3 linked regions of the Alligator mississippiensis genome follow. The protein of the gene in region 3 purifies or fractionates together with the protein of the main gene of each other region. This does not show direct contact. Links are inferred from orthologs where the notes say so. Each region holds a gene or a part of one and is shown on either strand. Other genes may lie near its edges. The genes, in order: AP2S1, ITSN2 and EPS15L1.

The links.
Region 1: the proteins of EPS15L1 (region 3) and AP2S1 purify together in Homo sapiens (affinity purification with mass spectrometry; 4 studies listed by BioGRID and IntAct, counting the BioPlex papers as one, with this or other methods). This does not show direct contact. The link is inferred for Alligator mississippiensis from reciprocal best matches to the Homo sapiens genes EPS15L1 and AP2S1.
Region 2: the proteins of EPS15L1 (region 3) and ITSN2 purify together in Homo sapiens (affinity purification with mass spectrometry; 5 studies listed by BioGRID and IntAct, with this or other methods). This does not show direct contact. The link is inferred for Alligator mississippiensis from reciprocal best matches to the Homo sapiens genes EPS15L1 and ITSN2.

What each region holds. Positions count from the first base shown.
Region 1 is NC_081838.1:647,908-654,919, reverse strand, and holds the start of AP2S1 (AP-2 complex subunit sigma), read left to right. Parts: upstream 1-3,959; 5' UTR 3,960-4,061; coding exon 4,062-4,064; intron 4,065-5,780; coding exon 5,781-5,930; intron 5,931-6,348; coding exon 6,349-6,462; intron 6,463-7,002; coding exon 7,003-7,012. UniProt on the Homo sapiens protein: Component of the adaptor protein complex 2 (AP-2). Adaptor protein complexes function in protein transport via transport vesicles in different membrane traffic pathways.
Region 2 is NC_081824.1:15,602,988-15,610,497, reverse strand, and holds the start of ITSN2 (intersectin-2), read right to left. Parts: upstream 3,099-7,510; 5' UTR 3,032-3,098; exon of another isoform or gene 3,010-3,031; intron 2,966-3,009; exon of another isoform or gene 2,847-2,965; intron 690-2,846; exon of another isoform or gene 1-689. Other genes in the region: intron Large complex component GCFC2, read left to right, coding at 3,348-3,624.
Region 3 is NC_081839.1:339,565-347,104, forward strand, and holds the start of EPS15L1 (epidermal growth factor receptor substrate 15-like 1), read right to left. Parts: upstream 3,033-7,540; 5' UTR 2,996-3,032; coding exon 2,966-2,995; intron 1-2,965. Other genes in the region: CALR3 (calreticulin-3), read right to left, coding at 4,868-5,035, 5,849-5,941, 6,589-6,732, 6,818-6,931.

The sequences.
Region 1 (7,012 bases), on a different chromosome or scaffold from region 3:
AGCCCTGATCCAGCTGCGGAGTGGGAGGTGGCATCCCGATCCAGCTGTGGGGAGGCATGGACCATCCCAATCCAGCCATGGCTCGGTCCCATGGGGGGAAGGGAGCACAGATGTGCAGGGTTTGGGAGTTTGGCAGCGGGGAGGGCGGCCGTATTAATTGCCATCACTCCCCCACCACCAAATTTCCTGACCGGTGGAGAGCCCGGCGGGCTGGACGTGACGGCTCCACAAGCCGCCTTTGGCCCACGAGCCAACGGCTGAGCGCTGCTGCCCTGGATCATCCCCTGAACTCAGGTGTGGTCACACGCCCTCAGGGGAACATTAGCTCAGGTATGGAAAGGACTGACAGCGAAGCACCAGAGGCACGCACAAGATGCTCCAGGCGGCAAGATTTTGCTTTACAAATCTGGCTGAGAGACGTGCATTTCATTATTATTTATGACTGCAGGACGAATGAGACAATAGCTCTGGCCCCCTTTTTTTTTTTTTTTTATTAGTTTGTTGTGTTTTTTAAGCTTAATATAGAAGCTAGCAAATGAGTCTGCACTTCAGTAAAGTGCTGTTTGTGTTTTGCTTTGCTCACACACTGAATAATACAGCGCTGGGCCCCCAGTGCATTAGTAAAGCTTCTAGTTTCTCTCTAAGTGGAGAAAGGCGTGTGTTGTGTTAGCTGTGATCACAGACAGCGAGGGCAGGAAGGGATCTCCGGAGGTCAGCTCTAGTCCAGCCCCTGCTCCGAGCAGGACCAGCCCCAACTACATCATCCCAGCCAAGGCTTTGTCCAGCCGGGTCTTAAACACCTCCAAGGATGGAGACTCCTCCACCTCCCTGGGGACCCTGTTCTTGTGCTTCACCACCCTCACAGTGAGAGAGTTTTTCCTAATATCCAACCTCAAATTGCCTTGCTGTAGCCTGAGCCCATTGCTCCTTGTCCTGTCATCTGGGCTGACACTATCTGCACCCCCCTTTTCAAAACCCTAGATCCACCCGTGTGCGCTGAGGACATGGGGTCCGGCGCCAGGCCCAGCAAAGCAGGTTACAATGGTATGTGTGTCGTGTCACACAGGATCGTAGGAAAGTCGGCCTCACAGAGAATCCGGCTGGGCAAGCCCGGCACTCCTAATGCAGGGCAGAAGGGGGAACCGACCAAAAACGTCTTTTCCCTTTAAACCCTCCATAGAAATCCTGGCGTGGTGGGGTAGGCAGAGGTCACGTCTAGTCTAAGGCCCTGCCCGAGGCAGGATCAGCCCCGTCTGAACCAGCCCAGACAAATCCACCACCAAACCTCTTTGGAAAACTACCGTCAACCTTGACACAGCATCAGACATCGCATCCGAACCTGCTCCAGGTGAGGCAGGGGGACCACGACACCCGATGTCCTGCTGCTGGAGGAGGCTGTTCAAATACACCAGAGAGATCCCAGGCTGAGGCCACGTCCCCACTGCGGAAGAAAGCAAAGCCCCCCCAGTCCGTACCAGTCTGACTATGGGAGAAAATTCCCAAATGCAGCATCAGTCTGACCCTGAGCAGCAAGGTGAGACCCTCTAGCCAGGACCCTCAGGCGTAGGTCCCTGCAGATACATTGGCACAGGCTAGTTGCCATCCCCAGCCTGGGCTGCAGCCAACACCCAGCGGCTCTGAGGAAGGCCTAAACCCCCCCGGCACATCGTGGAGGGGGGCAACCAGCGAAGCCCAGAAGCCCGGGACATCCCCATAGTGGAGCATGGGCATCGCTACGCCTAGATCACCCCAGCCAGTGGCTGCCCAGCCTCCCCTGGAGCCCCTCCAGGGGTGGAGAGTCCACAGCTTCCCTGGGCCTCACTGTAAGGGGGGCGTGACGGAGGGGTTGGTTTCCCTTCCAGCCCCATGCGGCAACCAGCAAAGCCCAGACGCCTGGGAGCTGCTTTTCACCCTTGGGAGGCAGGAAGGAAAAGGCACGGACCCGTGGTAGTGCTCTCCTGGCAGCTCGCCTCTCCAGCCAGGCACTGAAGTGGCCGGGTCCGCGGGTCGCCTAGAGGACAGGAGAGCTGCCGGGATTGCGATGGCCAAGAAACCCCAGCTGGAGTATGAGGCACGATGCCTGATGTGAGATTTAGTCTAACCTGGATGGGTATCTGCCACCGCCCGGTGCTGCCCAGCTGTCCACAGAGGGTCAAATGATGCAATACCTGTGTCGCCTGCACGGGCCAGGCTCAGAGGCACTCAGTTCCTATGGGTTTCATGCGAGTCAGACCCTGAAATACCTTTACAAAGCAGTATCAAAAAGCTTGGGAGAGGGAGATGCCTCTGGGGCGCACGCCAGAGCCCAGCACTTAGAGAAGAGGCAGCGCCCGAAAGCTGTAGATCGCCCATCGGGAGAGCAGGGCGCTTCATCCTCCAGCCCCGTTCCTCCGTGGTCTAGCATCCTGGCGAGGCGGTTTGAGCCTTCTGTAAACTCAGCCCCTGCTCGGTGGGAAATAATCACAGCTTCAGACGGCCGCCGGTGACTCAGGGAGGCTATTTCTGGTTCTCCTCGCAGGTCCCCACTGGAGACAGGCGTGGCTTTATCCCCATCTCACAGTGGGGAAGCTTGGCTCCGGGAGAGGAAATGACTTCCCCGATGACAAGCAGAGCTGGGAACTGGAGCTGTGGCCTGACCAAAGCATCCTTGAGAGGATAGTAACTTGCTGAAGACTCTTCCAGCCAGCAAAAGTCCCAGAGAAATCTGGAACCAAAGGAGACAGCATCCCCACGCCGGCTCGTCCAAGTCTTTGCTCCTCTGTGCGCGCAGGAGACGGCCCTGCTGGGCACCCGCCTGATGCAGGGGCGTGGGAAACAACAGAACAAGGGGGGGAAGCTGCTGAGCTGCAAGCGGGACCGACCGGACCGGCAGGCCGAGGACGATGCTTCGGGCAGGGCGTGGAAGGAGCAAGGTGCTGAAATCTGCTGCGCGAGACTCTGCTGCGTCAGAGATACCCCGACGGCTGGGACCCCGGGTCCACCTCTCCCGCTGTCCTGTGCCGCTCCCCGCGTGGCAGGGCGGGCTACCGCTCCACCCCACTGCCAGCATCGCCCCAGCCACTTGGCACTAGGCACTGCCTGGTCTTTGCTGAGACCAGAGAGCGGCCGAGCCCTCTGGGAAGCCCACGGGCACGAGAGGCCGGAGGGAGGCGTACGGAGGATGCCGTCGGCAGCCCAGCCTGGCTGCGGGCGGCTGGAAAGCCTCTGGGAACTGCGGTTTCACAAGCCCCAGCACGGGGCCCAGTCCTTCGCTCCTGCCGGCAATTCGTGCAGCACAAACAGCTCCACAGACAGTCGAGAGAGGACGTGTTGTCTGCACCGCGGCGCCGCTCAGCCGCGTGTCCTAGGACCCCTCCTGCCCTGGGCCCTGGGGGACTCCCCGCCGGCGCGGCGCGGCGCGGCGCAGGGGCTGGGCTGCTGGAGCGGAGCAGGAAGCCGGACGACGCGCAGCGCCCGGCCAGCCCCGGACACCGACGTTTCTGCCGCGGTGCTGGCCCTGCCGGGCTGCGCGAGGCCGCTCCGAGCCTGGCGTGGTGTCAGGTCCAGCCCGGCGTGGCGAAGCGGCTGCACGATGCATTTGTCGGGGTGGTTCGGATAGAGCCGGTCCTTCTCCCTCCGGCGGGGTTGGACTCGATGTAGGGTGGCCAGGCGTCGCGGGCGGTCCCGGATTTCGAAGTCGGTCTTGGTCTCTGGGGTGGGGGGCACCGGCCCCTGCGAGCCCCCAGGCAGGGCCGGGGGCCCAGGGCGGGTGCGGCCTGCGAGGCCTCCCAGAGCCGCGGCCTCGAGTAGGGCGCTCGCCCGGCGGCAGCCGCCCCAGTCCGGAGCGCGGCGCCTGGAGCTCGAGCGCCCCCTGGCGGCGGCGAGGCGGGGCTGGGTGGGGACTACAACTCCCGGCAAGCCCCGCGGCTTCGCATGGGAGGAGGGACCCCCGGAAGTGCGCGCCTCCTTTGGAACTACAACTCCCGGCGGGCCCCGCGGCGAGGGGGCACCCGCCGGATATCCGGTGGGGTGGGGAGTGGGGCAGGCAGTGGCCCAGAGCAGCTGTGCGGGGTCGGGCCGTCATGGTGAGTGGGGGCTCCGTGGGAGCTGGGGTCCCCTATAGGGATAGGGCGGGAAATGCCCCCTATAGAGACGGGTCCTTCTAGGGAAGGGGTGTCCCCTATAGGGAAGGTGGGGGTTCCCTATAGGGAAGGGGTGGGGGCAAGTGCCCCCTATAGGGGAGGGGTGTGGGGGGGGCCCAGCCAGCAGCCCCCAGTGGCAGCCCCTGGCCCGTGCGTGTCCGCGTGGGAGCCGGCCGTGTGGGGGGACGTCAAGGGGGGGTGTGCGGGTGTGCGGCTGGCTCTGGGGTGGGCCGTGGAAGGGCGGCCCCCGCGGGGCTGCGGCGCCGGTTGTGGGCCCTTGGCCTCGGCGGAGTCCCCCAGGGGTGCAGGCCCCCTGCCCCGCGTGGGCGCGGGGACGCTGCAGCGCGTGGCCTGGACGTGCCGCGGGTGCCGGGGACGGGGTCTCTTCCCTCTCCTGGGCTGCGCCCGTGCTCCGTGGGCGCTCGACCCCGCGGGGTCCATCCTGGAGGGCCTCGCCGCTGTGCTCGGGCTCCGACGGATGCCGCGTTTGGGGCGAGGCAGGGATTTCGCCCCGCGCAGAGCGGCGCGGACAGGGCGGCGCTGCCCGCCCCTGCAGCAGGGGCACGGCCTCCGCTGCCATCTCTTGATAACAGCCTTTGACGGCGCTGCCAGCCGCGGCCCCCCCGCTTTCCCGGGGGAGGTTCGGGGGCGATGCGAGGGCTGACGGTCGTGTTGCTCGGAGGTTCGACGCTGGGTTTGCCTGGGCTGGTTGGGACGGGGCTGACCCTGCCTTGGGCAGGACGTGACCCCTGGAGCTCCCTTCCAGCCCTTCTGCAGGGTTACCGGGCTGCCCCGAGGAGCGGGAGAGCACGTGGCATAGAGCCGGCGACGGTCCATCTCCCGACACGGGTTCACCGGACCCCCGGTGCCCGGGCTCCTGCAGCTGGGAGGTGCCCGGTGTGATGCCCGCCAGCGCTCGCACCGTGGAGGCTTTTTCCTAATGGGACCTTCGGGTGCACGGGGCAAAGTATCTGGAGGTTGAGGTGTTGGGGGTCCCACCGCTGGTTCCTAGTGGGGGTGGCAAACACAGCTCTGGGCTGGGTTGTGGTCAGGATTTCCTCTGAGGAAGCCCTTTCCCCCCGCTCAGCAGAACGGAGCTCGTGGCCTTTCCTGCTGAGCGCGCACTGGCGGGGAGGCAGCTCCTTCCAGGAAGCCTCCTCTCTGCCCCCGCCGACCCCGCCAGGAGTGCGGCGGTGCGGGGCCCGACAGCTCCAGGGGACGGCGAGCCCCGTGGCTGGGGGACGGGACCTCCACGAGATCTGGGCTCCTGGTGGGAGAGGAGAGATCGCGGGTGTCGGGCTTGTGGCAGGGCAGAGCCCCGGCGTTCCTGCCTGCAAAGGGCTCTGTCCCAAGCCATCCTGAGCTGCCCTGGTGCCTCTGCTGTGGGGCGTTCCCCTGCAGCGCGGCTCTTCCTTCCCCTATCGCTCTGCGAGCAGCTGGGTGGAAGGAGAGGCCTGGTTGGCTTTGCTCTGCCGGCGGGGAGGTGGGGTCGGTGGGTGAGGGGAAGGAGCCAGACCCCCTGCAGCAAAGGGGGCAGCTGAGAGGGGGCAACCCGCCCTGCCCACTGCATTGGGCTCCCCTGAGGGTCTGCACCCCTCGAGCCGTGCTGTTGTCCGTGACCCAGGCGATGGAGCCTGACCTCATCCGCTCTCCACGCAGATTCGCTTCATCTTGATCCAGAACCGGGCCGGCAAGACGCGCCTGGCCAAGTGGTACATGCAGTTCGACGACGACGAGAAGCAGAAGCTCATCGAGGAGGTTCACGCCGTGGTGACCGTGCGGGATGCCAAGCACACCAACTTCGTGGAGGTACCGCTCTGCCGGCGTGTCACGGCCCCCGACACTTGGGGAGGGGGTGGGCGGGACGTGAAGGTGTCGGCTCCTTGCCAGATCCACCTTGATGTGGGTGGATCAACCCGTCCAAGGAATCCTGGCCCAGCCCCGCCGTGCGGCTGACAGCAGCTTGCTCTTGCACCGCGGGCATGAGCTTCCAAAGTCTCCCATCGTAGCGGGAGGAGCCAGAGGCAGGGGGAGGGAACGTCGGCTGGCACCGAGAGCGGCTACCTGGGACTGGGAGCTCCTGGGTTCTGCTGCTGTCTTGCTGCGTGCAGCTGGGGTGAGGGTTTTCCCTGACAGGAAGGCAACTGAGAGGACCTGGGGGCGCAGGGGTCTCCTCCAGGCCGTCTGCTCCCCTGGTGGAGCCTCCACCGTCGTCCTCTCCCCTCAGTTCCGGAACTTCAAGATCATCTACCGGCGCTACGCGGGGCTGTACTTCTGCATCTGCGTGGACGTGAACGACAACAACCTGGCGTACCTGGAAGCCATCCACAACTTCGTGGAGGTGAGCGCTGGTAGGAGGTGGCTGGGCCTGGTCTTGGGGGCACGGCTCTCGGACGGTTCCTCAGGGAGATGGAGCCTTCCTCGGTGATTGACCGGCTGTCCACATCTCCCTCTGTGCGTGCCTGGGCCAGCCAGCAGCTCCTGTCCCTCGCCGCGAGGCTCCTCCGGGTCTGTGGGTTACAGGGAGCAGAGCAAAGCCCCACCTAGCACTCGCTGGGCTCTGAGCAACCGCTGATGGCTTTGCTGGCTGCAAAAGACCCGTTTCCTGCCCTGCGTCCCATGCGGTGGGGCTGGGGGGTGAAGCTCCAAGGAGGGCAACGAACCATCATGACCGGTGCCCTGGGTTGCTTCAAATCTCATCGTCTCTGGGCACCTCATGGTAGAAGCTGTGCCCGAGCCCTGCCGTCGGATCTCGGCTGGATGCAGCAGGGGGGCAAGCAGGGTCCCCTGGGCTGAGTTGAACAGGAGGGCACGCCGGTCTCGTGGCACCAGGTGGCACAAATCAGGCCCCGACTCCCACTGTCTTTTTTCCTCCTCCCAGGTCCTGAATG
Region 2 (7,510 bases), on a different chromosome or scaffold from region 3:
AATGAGTGTCACCACGCTCATGTGTGGGAAACATGAGGGCCAGAAAGCCAGCAACAGGTAGAGAAGGTGGATCTGCATGCTGTCTCACCCTCCCCAGCTCTCAGAATCCACACATTTGCAACTGTGCATGCCCCCCCAGGGTTTGCCCCAGACCTGTACACCACTATCCTGCACTTAAAAAAAAAAAAATCTAAATAACTGTTTCTATCTTGGCCTAACACACAAATGAGTGACACTTATTATTAGTTGTGGCATGTATCCTTATAATTCAATTTTACAAGCCAGTCAAGTAATAGCACCTATCCCACAGAGTTTATAATCACAGAAAGAAAATACAATAAGGTTTCTAGACTGCATTTCAAGGCAAAGAGGTGACTAATGAGCAGGTAGGAAGGACGATGGGAAGGGGGAGAGACCAGCTGAATAACAAGGAGATTGTTCCAGACATAGATACAGGATGACTGTAGATACAGAAACCAAGATTGAGAAGAGACTAATTAAGATGAAAGACTTGGGGAGAGTGGAGGGAGCAGGAAGGGAGGAGTATTAAATACTGTTTACAATGATCACAGATTCTTTTTCTATTCTTACTACATTATCTCCAGCTGAGCTAATGCTTCTCTGTAGAGAGAACAACAAAATATGCCTAGATATTATGAAAATAAAGGCTCTAGAAATACTTAAAACAACCAGATCTTTCATATTTTTCAAGTCTTCAGTGCCTTCCCTTTGAAATTTAGTTGGCTCGCTGCCTGCAGTCAGTCAGCAAATCCCAGTTATAGGCAGCACAATGTTCTGAAAGGTGATAGGTGTAAATCCCTACTGTCAGCTGAACAGATCATAGATAAAATTGTCCATTCTTTGAAGGAGCAGAAGGAACAAAATTATCTAATGCCTCTGGTGTACTTCATAGTTTGGCTCACTTCCTCTGCAGTATTGGTGCTTGTCCAGACATGCTAGAAACCAGTGATTTGCTCTTCCGGTCCAAAACCCATACCTTTTCCGTGACCAGATAGTATCTTGGATTAATGATAGCCAAATCCCTTCAGTCATGTTCTTAAACTAGGGGCACCAACCTTATAGCGGGCTGGATGTGTGGCACGGTCAGCATGCCGGCCAGGTCCCATGCAGGGTTGGCATGTGGGATCCAGCACACCAGCTTGATCCCCACATGCCTGGATCCAATTGCGCACTGGTGTGATCTAGCATGATCTGGTGCACAGGGCCATGTTATCTGGCACACGGAGCGCCACATGGGTCTGAAAATTTAGCAGCAGGGGGTGAACAATTAATGATACCACCACTTCCCCACTTAGGGAGCCCTTCTGGCTGGATTACATAGATCTGTGGGCTGGATCTGGCTCACAGGCCAGGAGTTGAGCACCCCTGGCTTAAACAATTTAATAGTGAGGAATAAACAAAGATATTGATAAGCAGAAATTGATTCCAGCTGTATGGAAAGACTTCCTCACCATGACCCACAGCTTGTATGCAGGTCATAAATTGCTGTCTAGTGGATAAGAGAGGTTGCCTTACTATTGAATTTAAGTAGCCAGAAAGAAACAACTGCAGAAACGTTTGCCTGGGATCTCCTGAGCCCATATTTACAAGAAAAGCAGCAGGACACTCTTTGCTGTGATTCCCTTGTGTTACCAGTAGCATGCTAGGGTGTTAGGTCTATGCGGTGTCAGGGCTGATGGTAGTCTTACACAGAGTTATTGTATAGTGTGGCTCGGATAGGGATCATCCTGCTTCAGCCAGCCCTAGTTTTCTGTGACTCTATGAAGACTTAATTACCCAATTACTCAAGGGTGCCCACTTCTCACAAGACAACCGCTCTCTCTCCCATCTCTCGGTTCTAATCCTTAAAGGCAAGTCTACAAACTTCACTTCATCAATCTACTGGATACAAAAAAAAAAAAAATCATGCACTTAATACAGACATTGGATTTACCACACATTATAACCTGCCTGCCATCCGATAACCCCAGGTAACCTGTCTGCATTTTACCAGCTCCGTTCTATCACCAGATCAACATCCTCCTTCCCCACAACTTACCAGTCTCACACCTATTGTCCCCCATTCCCTCTGATCCTCACTGCCACGCATTTGCATTTTCACAAACCTGAATTTTGCAAATTGGCTTCTATTCTACCCAGGACAGCACACATCATACCACCAGACTCCCTAGGCTGAAGAAGGGTGTTTGTGCCTGAAAACAATTTTCCCAACTATTTAGTTGGTTTAGTAAAAGGTATCACACATCTACCCAAAGAACCTTGCCTGCCTATGAAGACTTGAATTTTAGTCAGTTTTGGATTTTAAACTTCATTTAACAATGAGAAAGATTTCTAAACTCCCTGCTTGCCATCTGACACCTCCAGGGAAGGAATCGTACCTGATCTACACAACCAAGAGCAACTCAGAACAACTCACAAAGACACGCTCATAGATCCAGAGGGACAGATTTCCATCTTCCGCACCCTCTGTCTGTGCAAAAGTGAAGTTTATTTCCTACCTATTGGGAATTTTCACTATCTTTAATTTTCCCAGAGGCCGACAAAGGGCATTTGACGTTTATTTTTGGGGCTGTCCTTGCTCGCAGAAAAAGATTAATTTTGCCCCACCCGAAAGCTCGCAGAAAAAAGATGAATTGTGTCTGCGATTTTCTCGTTGGTCTAATAACAGGTCTCATCTCTGAACTAAGAGCTCTAGATTTTTGCATTTCTTTCCGTCTCGGGCTACCAAATGCATCCTACGAAGACCTGAAGCGCATACAAGTGCCAGCGTCCCAGCAAGGAGGAAGGGCGCAGACACCTCCCACCACTGCTGTGGTGCAACTAACCCCGGGTTTTACTCCGCAGCAAATCCTCTGAAGCCGGAGGCGGGCAGGCAGGCAGGCGGCTCTCCCCGGGGCTCCAGCCCCCCAGCTCTGAGCCAGAGACAACAACGACGAGGAGAAGACACGTGCTACCGTACTTAGTTTGCACGGGTCCCGCTTGCTTTACCAGAGAAGGCAGCGACCCGCACCTGCTCCCCCGTGGTCCTCCAGGAAAGACCGCCCGCGCCGAGCGCGCTCCTCCACCAGCGCCGCCCCGCAGCGACAGCACTCAAAACTCCCCAGCTCCGCACCCCACTTCGTCCCAGCCAGGGGAGGGTTAAAGACACTTCATCCTCATTGGCCAGCACCCTCTTCTGCCCCGCCCACTTCCCTTGTGACACCCACGGGGCGGAGCCAGCAACAGGTGATTGGTCGACACCATTTCCTCAGCTAGCCGGGCTGCGGCGCGCATGCGCATTGGGCGTCGGCGTTCTACCGGGGCCTGCGTGACCGGTACCGGACAGAATGTTCCGCCGGCGTCCGCGTCACTTCCGGGGTCGCCGCCGGGTGCAGTCCGCCAGCAGCGAGGAGGAGCCGGGTCCCGGCGTCGAGGGGGGGGAGGAGCGGCAGCGGCAGGGCCCTGTCAGCCCCGACCCCGGTCCCGGTCCCCCGCGGCTCCCGGAAGCGCCGACGGTGAGCGCGAGGGGCCAAGAGGCGGCGGAGGACGGAGGCGAAGGCGGGGCCCGGCAGGCGCGGGGGGGCAGGGACCTGCTCAGCTTCGGGAGCGACGAGGAGCGAGAAGGTAGAGCCCCCCCTCCCCCACTCGCCCCGCAGGCGTCCGGGCTTGGCCCCTCTGCACCTTACCCGCATGGCGTAAGTTGCTGGTGGAGCGCACAGTTCACATGGACTGGCCCCACGGGCCAAGTCGGGTGATAACCACGTCTGTCCTGCTCCCCCAAGAGCCGGGTGGCAACAGAATTAGTGCTTGGAAATGTGTAGCGGCTCCGGAGGTGGTTTCCAGCCAGCTTTCGGTTGAATGTGCATCTCAACCCCAGGGGCCGGGCAGAGGGAGCGGGCGAGGAGGCCTGTGGGTCCGACATAAGGTTTGGCCTCATGCTTGCTCGTCCCATGCCAAGTGTCTGCTGCGTACCAATGACTGCCTGACTCCACGCGACGGAAAGTATCGCGGGAAATGCCCCCTTAGACATCCGTGGTGCATCCGCACCTTGAAAAATGTGCCCAGGTCTGGTCCCTGCACCTCACAAAGGGTATAGGAAAGCTAGAGACGGCGCAGAGAAAGGTGGCGAGGACGATCGGTGGTGTGGAGGGCTTGTGTGAGGAGGGAGGAAGAGGCCAAGCTTGACTGAGTTTAGAAAAGAGGGGTTTGAAGGGCAACATTAAGAGTTTACAAAATGCGAAACAACGCAGAGAAAGTCGCTAGGGGTTTGTTATTGACTGTCTCACAATACAAGAAGTAAGGGTCACAGAATGACGCCAGGTGGTGAGATTAAAAGTAATGAAAGGCAGTTCTTTCTCTCTCAGCCTGTAACTTCAGGGTGGAACTCATGGGCGCCTTTTTGAGCTGTCCTGGCTGCCGATGGCGTTTCTTCATGGCTTCGTTATTCACAAAATCGTGAAACAGTTCCTCGGCATTGTTTCAGAAAGCTTTCTTTAAGTCCTCTCTGTCTGTAAGCACTCGCCCTTCCTAGCTATAGCTACAGCTGCAATGTAACTTGGCTGTGTGGAAAGAGCACGTTTAGTTACAAACTTAGAAAAGCTGGGGGTCTGTTTTTTTCAAGCGAATCAGTAGCTTGTCTGATGCACTCAAATTTGTCTGCTTCATTGACTCCAGAAAATTTGGCTTAGTGCTTGGTTGTGAAATGGCACTGGATGCTGAAAGTACAAGATACCACTCTTTTACTACACAGGCCACAAACAACATGATCCCCTTTCTGCACAAAACCATACAATTCTCTCCACGCTGGCTGAAACGTTCAAGTATCCAACTTGGGTTTTTGCTATCCATGACTAAGTACATATAGGCCTCTTAACCAGTTTAAGTAGTGCAAGGGTTCTCAAACTTTCTTTTGCTGGACCTCATTTGAAAATATTTTAGGCTGTGGCAAATAGAGATGTGAACACTTAACCATTCACATACTGATAATTGGTAATGCTGTACGAGTTATCCTTTAGCTTGGGGCGAGGAGCAGTCTGGTGAGGGAATGGGAGAAAGAGAAGTGGCATCATGCCCCGGAAGGTGGCAAGACAGGTAGAAGGGAGTGGGGACTTAGTATGGCAGGGAAGCTATGCAGCTGTTGGCAGCCTGCCTGCTGCCTGTGCTGCCCCAGGCCGCTTCTCTACCATGTGCTCTGAGGCATGTGTGCAGCTGCCACCACTGCCACAGAGCCAGTGCTGGAACTCTGGAGCTTGGTGCAGTTGTTTGCAACCTCCTAGCTGCCTGCTGCAGCTGCCTAGAGCCTGGGTCACCTGTGGCTGGCACCTGGGAGGCTGCAAACAAGCTGTACTGGTCTTGAGTATGGATGGGCTCAGTGGCAGCTGTGCCTCAGCAACCCCAGCTCTTTCCCATCCATGCATTCTGCAGCCCCTTCCTGACCCTACACCCAGAGACACGTGTGCAGCTGTGGCTGCTAAGGAGCCCGGTGCAGCTGTTTGCAGCCTCCCAGCTACCTGCCATAGGCAGCCTAGGCTCTAGGCAATTGCTGCCTGCCACGGAGCATGGGCTGCATGCAACACAGCTTGCAGCTTCTCAGCCGCCTGCTGTGAACAGCCCAGGCTCCGTGGCCAGAAGCATCTGCCCAGAGCCCAGGCCATCTGTGGTATGCTGAGCAATATGGCCTTGCGTGCCATGCTCTGGCATATGTGCTGGAGGTTGCTGATTCCTGTGTTAGTCTATGATTAATCTTAACTGTGATATAATTTGTTTTCTATGTTTTCCTCTCTCTTCCTTATTGTGGTTAAGTCCAGACATATTCTGTCTGAGTTAGTACTTAATGTTGCCTATAGTTAACCGTTAGTCTTGTTTCAAATCCTAAAAGGGTTATTTGAAGATTACTGCGTTTGTAGAGGCAGCAGCAAAAAGCAGTTTTTTTTTCCAAAAGACTTTAGGCCTTGACATAGCGTTTAACAGTCTGGGGTTACTTACCAAATGAAGGGCATAGACTACACCACATTGCCTGGCTACTGGCACTGTACAGGAGCCTCTCCAAGGCCTGAAGGCAGAAGTTGTGGACCTGGATGCAGAGGCAGACCAGGCCCTGTCTGCTGTCCCACAAGGGGAGGCTCAGGACATCTGCAGAGACCCAGTGCTGTTCCAGCCAGAAGAATCCCAGCATCCATCTCTGGAGACTGGCCTGGTGGGACAGGCGTTTCCTCCTCCTCTGCCCCTGTGGGGGCAAAGGTCCAGCAGAGCACTGCCTGAACCACCCAGTGCACTACGTCCCCCAACACCAGGAGAGGGGGAGATACAGCCCCTTGTGGTGGGGAAGGGGGTAGCACAAGGGGTAGCAGGACAGCTGGCGGTGGGTCTGTGCAGCATCTCCCTCAGGGTTTTTGGTGGGGACCCTGCTTCTCTCCTGTCTGTACTGGGGTTGCAGGATGTGCTGGAGGTTGTAAGATATGCTGGAGTCTGTGGCAAGGGTGGCTTTGATTGGGGCTGGGGGAGACAGTTCAGGCACCTGGGTGGTGATGGTGGGCTGTAGGTCCACACACAGTGGTGGTAAGAATAGCAGGAGCCTACAGCAGCTCAGCAGGGCTCCTTCTGATTCCTGGCCCAGCAGCAGCCAGGGGAAAGTGGTGGCACCCCTCTTTGGACACGGGGCACTGGGCAAAATGGTCCCATTCTCTGACTCAGGAAATAGCAGTTCTTATGTTCTATGTTCTCATATCTGCTGTGCTTGTGACTTAGGATGTGATTTGGAATTGCAGTATTCACAAGTGTGACAGGGAGCGAGGCCAGCCTCATAGTTGGCCCACCCACCCGACTTTTCTGCCACGGCTTTGTTGGAATTAAATAGTTGTTTTTAGGCAGGAGGCTGCCCCTTTTGTGTCCTGATGCCAAGGGCGTAATACATGACTCTGAACCATTCCTACACCATGTCTCATGCCTCACAGATGGCATCTAAAATGACTTCCAACTCCCCTGGCCCCTTTGCTGGGCTGCACTTGGCCTCCAGCCCACAATTGGCCTCAGGTGTCCTCAGATGTACCTTGGCCTTTTCTGCCCCCCTCACTGGGGCCACTACTCTGGCTGACCTATGCGCAGTCCTTCAGGCCCCCATGGGCCCTACTCCACGTGGCCTCCAGCTTTCACTCCACCCCCTCACTGGGGCCACAATTCTGCCCTCTCACTGGGGCTTCTGGGCTTTATACCTGTTAGGCCTCAAGTGTCTGTTGACATGCCTGGATCCCTAATCTGTTCCCTCTATGGGGTTACCCACCAGGTGGTGGGGGCTGAGGCTATATGGTACCTTGCACTGGAGAGGCACAGGTGTAGCATTTCCTGGAGACCACAGGCAGCCCCACCACACCATCTAAACCCAGCAGGGTATAGTTTCATATCTTATCCAGGACCAGGGACCTTTTCTATCCCTACGGTTCCTAACCTGACCTCCAGATGTCCTGAGAGCAGCAGTACTCAGGTCACGCGATGTTCATTCTTTGGCTCCCCA
Region 3 (7,540 bases):
TACAGAAATTCTGCCAAAAACTAACGGCTTACACAAAATCTTTATATGACTTTATATGAATGCTCCTTAGACCTGGTCCTGTAAGCTCATGGGCATAACTTAACTTTCAACAAGAGCAGCCTTACTGATTTAAACTTTTTGTGATTACTCACAAGCTTAATTTTGCACATGTATTTTCAAGAGCAAGAACCTAAATGTATAAAATAGCCATAACACTGTAATAAGACTTGATTTATTAGGAATGTTATAGTAATACTATGACAGGCGTGGGCAATTATTTTGGCAGGCGGGCCACTTAACGAGTTTTAGTGAGTACACAAAATCTTTTGGAAGACATCATTTTAACAAATTATAGATTAAAAAATCATATATAAAAATCAAACATCTACTATAACATATTTTAATTTAAAAAAAAATTGCCCTGATTTATGTTTTTTTGAGTAGTGTATATAGAGATGATTGCATAATATCTCAAAATAAAGCCGTACTCTTGTATATTGTGTTTGGGGGAGTAGGGTGTGTGTATGGGTATGGGGGGGGAGAATGTGCATGTCTGCGTGGAGCTGCCTGTGTGCTGGGTCCTGGGATACGGCCGGAGGTGGGGGAAGGCAGGAGTAGCACGGAGCAGAGCCCACATGGGCGGTATGGTGCCAATGCAGGTATGGTGCACCTCTGCCCGGCCCACGGCTGCCCCTGTGGTGCTATGCGTGGGGCCAAGCCCCACCACTCCCACCCAGGGCAGCCCATGTCGCAGTCCTGCCCATACTCACTTTGCGCCAGGAGGCTCCTGCCGCATCGTGCGGTGCTCTGGCTCCAGATCCTGGCCACCTTCCACCCGCTTGGCCACCCATGGGTGGCTGGTCATCATGCTGGGCAGGCGGAATGGGTGGAAGGGGGCTGGAAGCTGGAGCCCCACATGCTGAGGTGGGAGCTACCCAGCTGCGGATTGCCCCCTGGCACATATCCCCCACCGCTTCCATGTGCTACCTGCTGACCGGAGCAGCACAGCTAGGGCAGGAGGAGGAGGAGCTGATCCAATTTAAATTGTTTTAAAAATGAGCACCCAATCCAATTTAGTTTGCCCAGGTATGGATCTTACACTTAGACCCAGTCTCAGTGACTGGAAATCAATCTAAACCTGTAACAGTATAGAAGTCCAGTACATACAGACTAGTCTAAAAAGGTGGAATCAGGTCTAAGATAGACCAGGATAGATGTACACTCAAAAATAATCCACCAAGGTTAGACTGCTGCATTGAACTTCAGTACAGTTACCTGTGCAGCCCCAGTGGCTGGGCTAAACATACGTCCAATTATCTTTAATTTTAGGTCTGATTAACTTTGATTAATGTCCAAAAAGAAAATGTTTTATAGTCCTTTTAAATGACACAATGGACAGATTACAAGTTTTGCACCCAATTTGACCATAAACAAAAAAAGGCAAAACTCCTGAAAGTGTGACTTACGCCTGTTTTCAGCACACCTTTATGCTATTTCCTAAGCTGATTATCAGTACACATATGCCTAATTTTTTTTTACCAGGAAGCTCACTGGACTTCCTATTATTTTTAAACAGCAATAGTGAGTGCAAGTTCATTACTTATGTCCAGTACAAGGAACATGTAGGCTTGCATAGCACAGTGGTTTGCATACAAATAATAAGAACAATAATAATTAACAATATTCTGACTGCTAAACAGATTCATCAAGGTGGCAGAAACAGTCAGTATGATCAATGACCAAACAGCGCTTGAAACATTTGAAAAATTATCAAGACTTACATGATTTCGGATCAGGAACCCAATCCAGCAAACAAAATTTACTTTAGGTTTATAAGTTCTGAACAAAAAAGGACTCATTTTGATTGTGGACTGAAAAGCTTTCACCTCTGGCAAAAACGCACGCGTCTGAGGGGATTGCTACAAAGCTATTCTCCAGTACAGTTTTGCGTATCCCCAAAAACTAGTGGAGAAAGGCATAATTTTGAACTCAAGACTGGAAATAAGAGACTAGCATTTAATCAAAAACAAAATGTATAATGTTTTATTGGTAACTCTTATTATGGATTCTCAAATATTGCATTATGAAGATAAATTTCTGGCAGTGGACACTCAATATACAACGTGATGCTGGTTGAATTCAGAACTCTCTCTCATAAGAAATAGATTTAAAGATGTGCTTTTACGTATGTCTGGCATACCAAGGGCACGTCGGCTCCCGCAGTCCTGACTGACCTGGCACAGTGCCGAAAAGCATCTCACTTTTAAGGCAGGGGTAGTTTTTTGCTCTCACAGAATATCAGTTAGATGACATTTGGGGAGGGCCGGGCACTAAGCAATGCCAGCGCTGTTATTTAAAGGATAAGAAAATAATTAAACAGCTCAGAACAAGATGCGGGCAGGCAAGAATGCCAAGCCTCAGCGCAGCCTGTACAGCGGGGCTGGCCTTGCCAGGGGCAGGGCGGGGCGGGGCGGGGCGGGGGGCCCAGGCCGCGCAGCGCTGCCCGTCGCCGCAGGGCCGGCCGAGGAAGCAGGGCGCCCCCGCAGCAGGTGCCAGGCCGGCGCGGGGAGGCCCTGGCGCCAAGCCGAAACAGCCGGCACTCCCGGGACGAGCCGGGCGCAGGCTCTGCCCCGCCCGCCGCCGCGCCCCACGCTCGGCTCCCCGGGACCAGCCTGGCCTCCCCGGGCCGGGCCGGGCCGGGCCGCGCCGCGCCGCGCGGGGAGCCGAGGGTGCCCCGGCGCCCCCGGGCTCAGCCGCAGCGCAGCCCGCCCCGGCCCAGCGCGGCAGTGGCGCCCGGCCCGGCCCGGCCCGGCCCGGCCCGGCCCTACCAGCCGGACGTGCCCGCGAACTAGGAGCAGCCGCCCGGGCCCGGCTTCTCGCGCGCCAGCGCCCCTCACCCGCGCCCGCCTCAGGTGGCCGCGCCGCGCCCCCGCTGCCCCGCGCCCCCGCGCGCCGGGCCGGCTACCTGCTGGCTGAGAGGAATGAGCGCCGCCATCTTCCTCCCGCGGACTCGGGCCGCGGCCGGGGGGCGGGGCGGCCAGGGGGCGGGGCGAGCGATGGGCGGGGCGGGGCGGGGCGGGGCGGGCTCTGTCTCTCGCGCGCGCTGCCCGGACAGGCGGCCGGCTCGTCCGACCTGCAGCGGAGCCCGGCCGAGGCCCGAGCCACAAGCCGGCCCTTGTTTCCCCAGCAGCCCCGGTCGGCCTGCTCCTCCGAGAGGTCAAGTGCATGCACGTCTCACTGCTCCGCCTGCTCCGCGCGGGTCACACCTTCCTGCTGACTTCTCTTCTTGCATGGACGTGTCCTCGGTTTCTATTACAACACAGACTCCTTCCCAGGGCTTCTGCTGTCTCACTCCCCTGCTGGTCTGCCCCTTAGCCAGCCCACCCCGTCCATCAGTCTCCTTCCCCCGCCAGTCAGACCAGTCTCCACACCGGGCTCCCCCTTCAAATGCCAGTGCCCCCCCGCCACGCTCGTTACCCGACTTGTCTACCCCCAGCTCCTCCCCTGTCTCACTGTTCATGAGCTGTTACTAGAAAACATTTGAAGTAACTCAGTCAAGATATTACACTGAGGATTATTAGGGCAAGTTCCACTGCTTGCGTTTCTGAATTCCTGGATAATAAAACAATCTGAATTTCAGCTTTTGGACAACACCAGAGACTCACTCACTTAACTCTTTGCTTTACAACGTATCATTTATTTTTACAGCATTAGCCTGGAACTGCCAGAGAATAAGAGACAATACCAGTGTTCACAAGATATGGCAGCTGTTCTGGCTTCTCTGAACAAGATGTGGGAAACCTACTTAGAGGCATCTGAAGTTAGATGCCTCTAAGTCACAGGTCAGCAACACCTCAGGAGCAGCAGGCTGGGATTATTTTTCTGATGCCACTCCTATTACTTCTTCCTGCTGTCCAGGCACCATGCAGATGAAGATGTGGCATTTTAGGCCAGCCAGAATAGCTCCACCAGTCATAGGTTGCCAACCCCTAGCCTAGGCTAGGTAATTAGCAAGGGATAGCAAGTGTTTAGATAAGATAGGCCAGGCTTCTTCCCCTGCTTCTCCATCCCTCCCCACCCTTCAAAAAGCTTTGTTCCTTAAAAGAAAGTAACAGCTACCTGAAGGGAAGATCCCTCTGGTAGATCTGCAAAGGAAACATGATGGATACAGGGAGCCAGGTAGTCATTTTAGTCAGAAGTCAGTCAGAAAGGAGGGCAGATATTCACCTTTAGAAACTAAGATTTCACTTAGGTTAACCTAACAGACCAGTTTGTGATGGATTTCTTGTTCCCACAATTTCCCATTCAAATGGGTTATTCATTTTTGTTTTGGGGTTTGTTTGGGTTTTTCACGCTTGGGAACAGCAATCCTGAGGTCAGCAGTGGAGTCGGCAGGGAGGCTGAAGTGTTCTGCCACAGGCTTTTGTGTCTTTCTGCAGCTGATACAGAGTACGATAGTGAAAGGCCTCCTTTGGGAGTGAGAGGACCGGATAGTCCATCTTCAGAGAAGCAAAGTCAACACTAAAAGTAACACATTCAAAGTCTACTGTGCAGTAAAGCTTCCCCTGTAGAGACCCACTGAGTAGAAATCACCCTTCATTGAGAAATACATTTGGTATTTTTATTGAATTCCATTTCAATCTAACATTCTTAGACTAAGAAGCCTGACTTAATAAAATATTTGAAAAAAAAATTGATAAATTAATAATATTTTAGCCAGGCTCTCAAAACAAATTTTAACTAGTATTTGAGTGCTTGTTACTAAGGGAGGGTAGCAGGAGGGAACAGGACATCAAAACCTTTACAGCAGATTTAAAAAAAAAAGCAAACCTTTCCGATAGTTCCACAAATACTTCACAAATAAGAATTAAAGCTCTTCCTTCTGGACAGTATTCCTCCCTAACTTACTCTTTCCTGATTCTTTTTTCTTTTCTACCTTCTTGTTAAACCTTTCCCTGAAGCGTTTTTCTTCTTCTGCCCTTTCCCTTTTCTTTTCTTCCTCAGCCTGTTTTATGTTCATCACCTTTTCAGGGTCCTAAAGAGAAAAGGACATGGAGGGGTTTTCTTTGTCCAAGTCTGCAAGGCCTTCTGTTCATTGAGCTTTACATTTAAGTCAATGGTAAGGAGTTCTTTATAGAGGAATTGCAAGATTAAGGCCTTTATTAGTAACAGGCATCCAAGATTTTTCAAGTTTTTTTGTGGCTGGCAAAGGTTTGCGGGAGGGAAAAGTGAGTGCACCAAGACAGGAGTGACTATAAAAGCTCAGCTTTATGCCAGTTTTGGGTGCCGTAGCAACTCAGAAGTAAGCATAAGACAGTACTAGCCCCTGCAGAGGAAGATTCTAGGTACTATATTTATTCAATGTTTTGCAAAGAAGCTGCTTTTAAAACATGCGGTAACTTAGGCTTGTGCTGGAATAAGAACTTGATACTTGTATAGCCAACAAACTCACGTTCATTTAAACAAAGATTCATTATTCTATGCACAGATTGTATGCTTGGCAAGTGTTTCAGAAAGAGATGAGAACCAGTCCATTTGGTTTTGAGCAACTTTTTCTCTCTCCTGACCCTGAGCTGCTCTATGGGCTAGAGACCTCTGGCAATTTATTAGGACACTCTCATGGACTGCAGTCCTATTTGGAACCTCCACAGAACTGTACATTCCTTTTACAAGGGTTTGAGGGGAGATCCTAAAAAAGCAGCCTAATAGTTGTCTTTTATACTGTTTGTGTCTGGGGACACTCCTTCTTTGACTCAATAAAAAGCGTAAGACAGACCCCTTTACATAACTCCAATCCTTTAACTTGATAATGAGTGGCTAAAATAGGGACAAGGATTTAATTCATTACCTTGGTTTCTCCCCAGGTTTCATATCCAAAATCTTCTGCATATTCTTCATCATCTGTGATCAAGAAATTATCAAAAATTGTTCCAGCTCTCACCTTGAATGGAAGGAGAGAAGGTTGGGTGGAAAAAGTTAAGCTAAAACTATATTGTCAGGGAACATGATTATTCCTTTTAATTACTTAAAATATAGGATGCTGCTGAATTCTACATTTTGCACATAGTCCCATGAATGCCAGAATTGTACTCCAGAATACAAGGCCCTGTCATTTCTTTAAATGAAAGTTGGACACTCTAGACATTTTTTTACTTCCACATTTGTCCATAGTAGCTTGGATTACTAGTTTGGAAGAAAAAAATATGTACCTATCATCATACGATACTTGAGCATAAGTAAAGTATGCACTGAAGAGTCACATTTAGTAAAGTATATGAAAACACAAGAATGTTATTCCCTCATTTTTCATTAAATCTTGAAGTCATCAGCATTAGAGCAGTGGTTTAATTAGATCTGTTTAATGCAATATTTGACTTCTATGTAAAACACAGCCAATTACATATTTAAATGAAGGCAAGTTAAAAAGCGGGGGGGGGGGCAGGCTGACACAGGTATTAGCTAACCCCTACCCTTCCTACACATTAAGTGACATTTACAGAAAAAAGTTCGACAAACACCTCTGTAGAGGCAAGGAATGGAATAAGTACTTTAATTTCTAGTTACCTGCAGGAATTTAAAACAACTGACCTGCCAAATATCTAGTCCAATGACACTAATGTTCTCATAGCTGAGAATGTTGAGGTCTGGCAAGTAGTTTGGATTGTCAATCTGTGGATGGGGCCAAACTCCTTTATAATTAGGGTTATTAATCTTCCTTGGTTTCCATTCACCCTACAACAAACCATATGATTCTTGATACCTTTGGCCAAAAGAACAAGCAGTTTAAAGAAGTTATACATGACTAGAATGATTTTACTCTGTACAGTGGATTCTTGATCATAGGGTGTCGCCATTCTCCATCAGTCACACTGTTCCAGTCTTTAGATCTCTCGGCACTAGTGTCTGGAATGTATTCAGGTTCATCCCAATCCTTTAAAATATATAATAAAGAAGATAGCAATATTAACACAACTTTATATAATACGTGCAAGAGACATTACCCAACCAGTTCAAGAAAGAAAGAAAAATATACCTATTATCCTTTGTTAAAAGATTAAACAAGTTAATCTGTCAGAAAAGGAAAAGCCTCATTTGCTAAGGTCCCTGGCAGATGTCATTAAAGGTGTGACAGAATTTGATCTGTGATCCCAGCAATTGGGATTCCTGCCATGCAACACGTGTATGGCAGGAGGTGTGATAGTAGGATTGGGGAGTTGGAATGCAACCTTGCTCTGTTGCCAGTGCAGGACGCATCCAAGACCACAATCCCAGGCTCCCCCTAATCCTGTAAATAGCAAGCTGGGTGCTCAAGTCTCCTCCCATGGCTGGGAATGCCAGTCAGCTACTCAGCGCTAGCCACATATTCAATTAAGGGGAAAAAAGGACACCAGCTACAAAGGTATTGCATATATTTTTTTTAATAACTTTGTGTCTTATTTGGTTTCATTGTGCTGTTAATTGCACAAACTGGCTAATTAGCAATCATATTAAATATAACATCTGCCAGGAGCCTAAATCACCAAATGCCAAAGATCTCAGT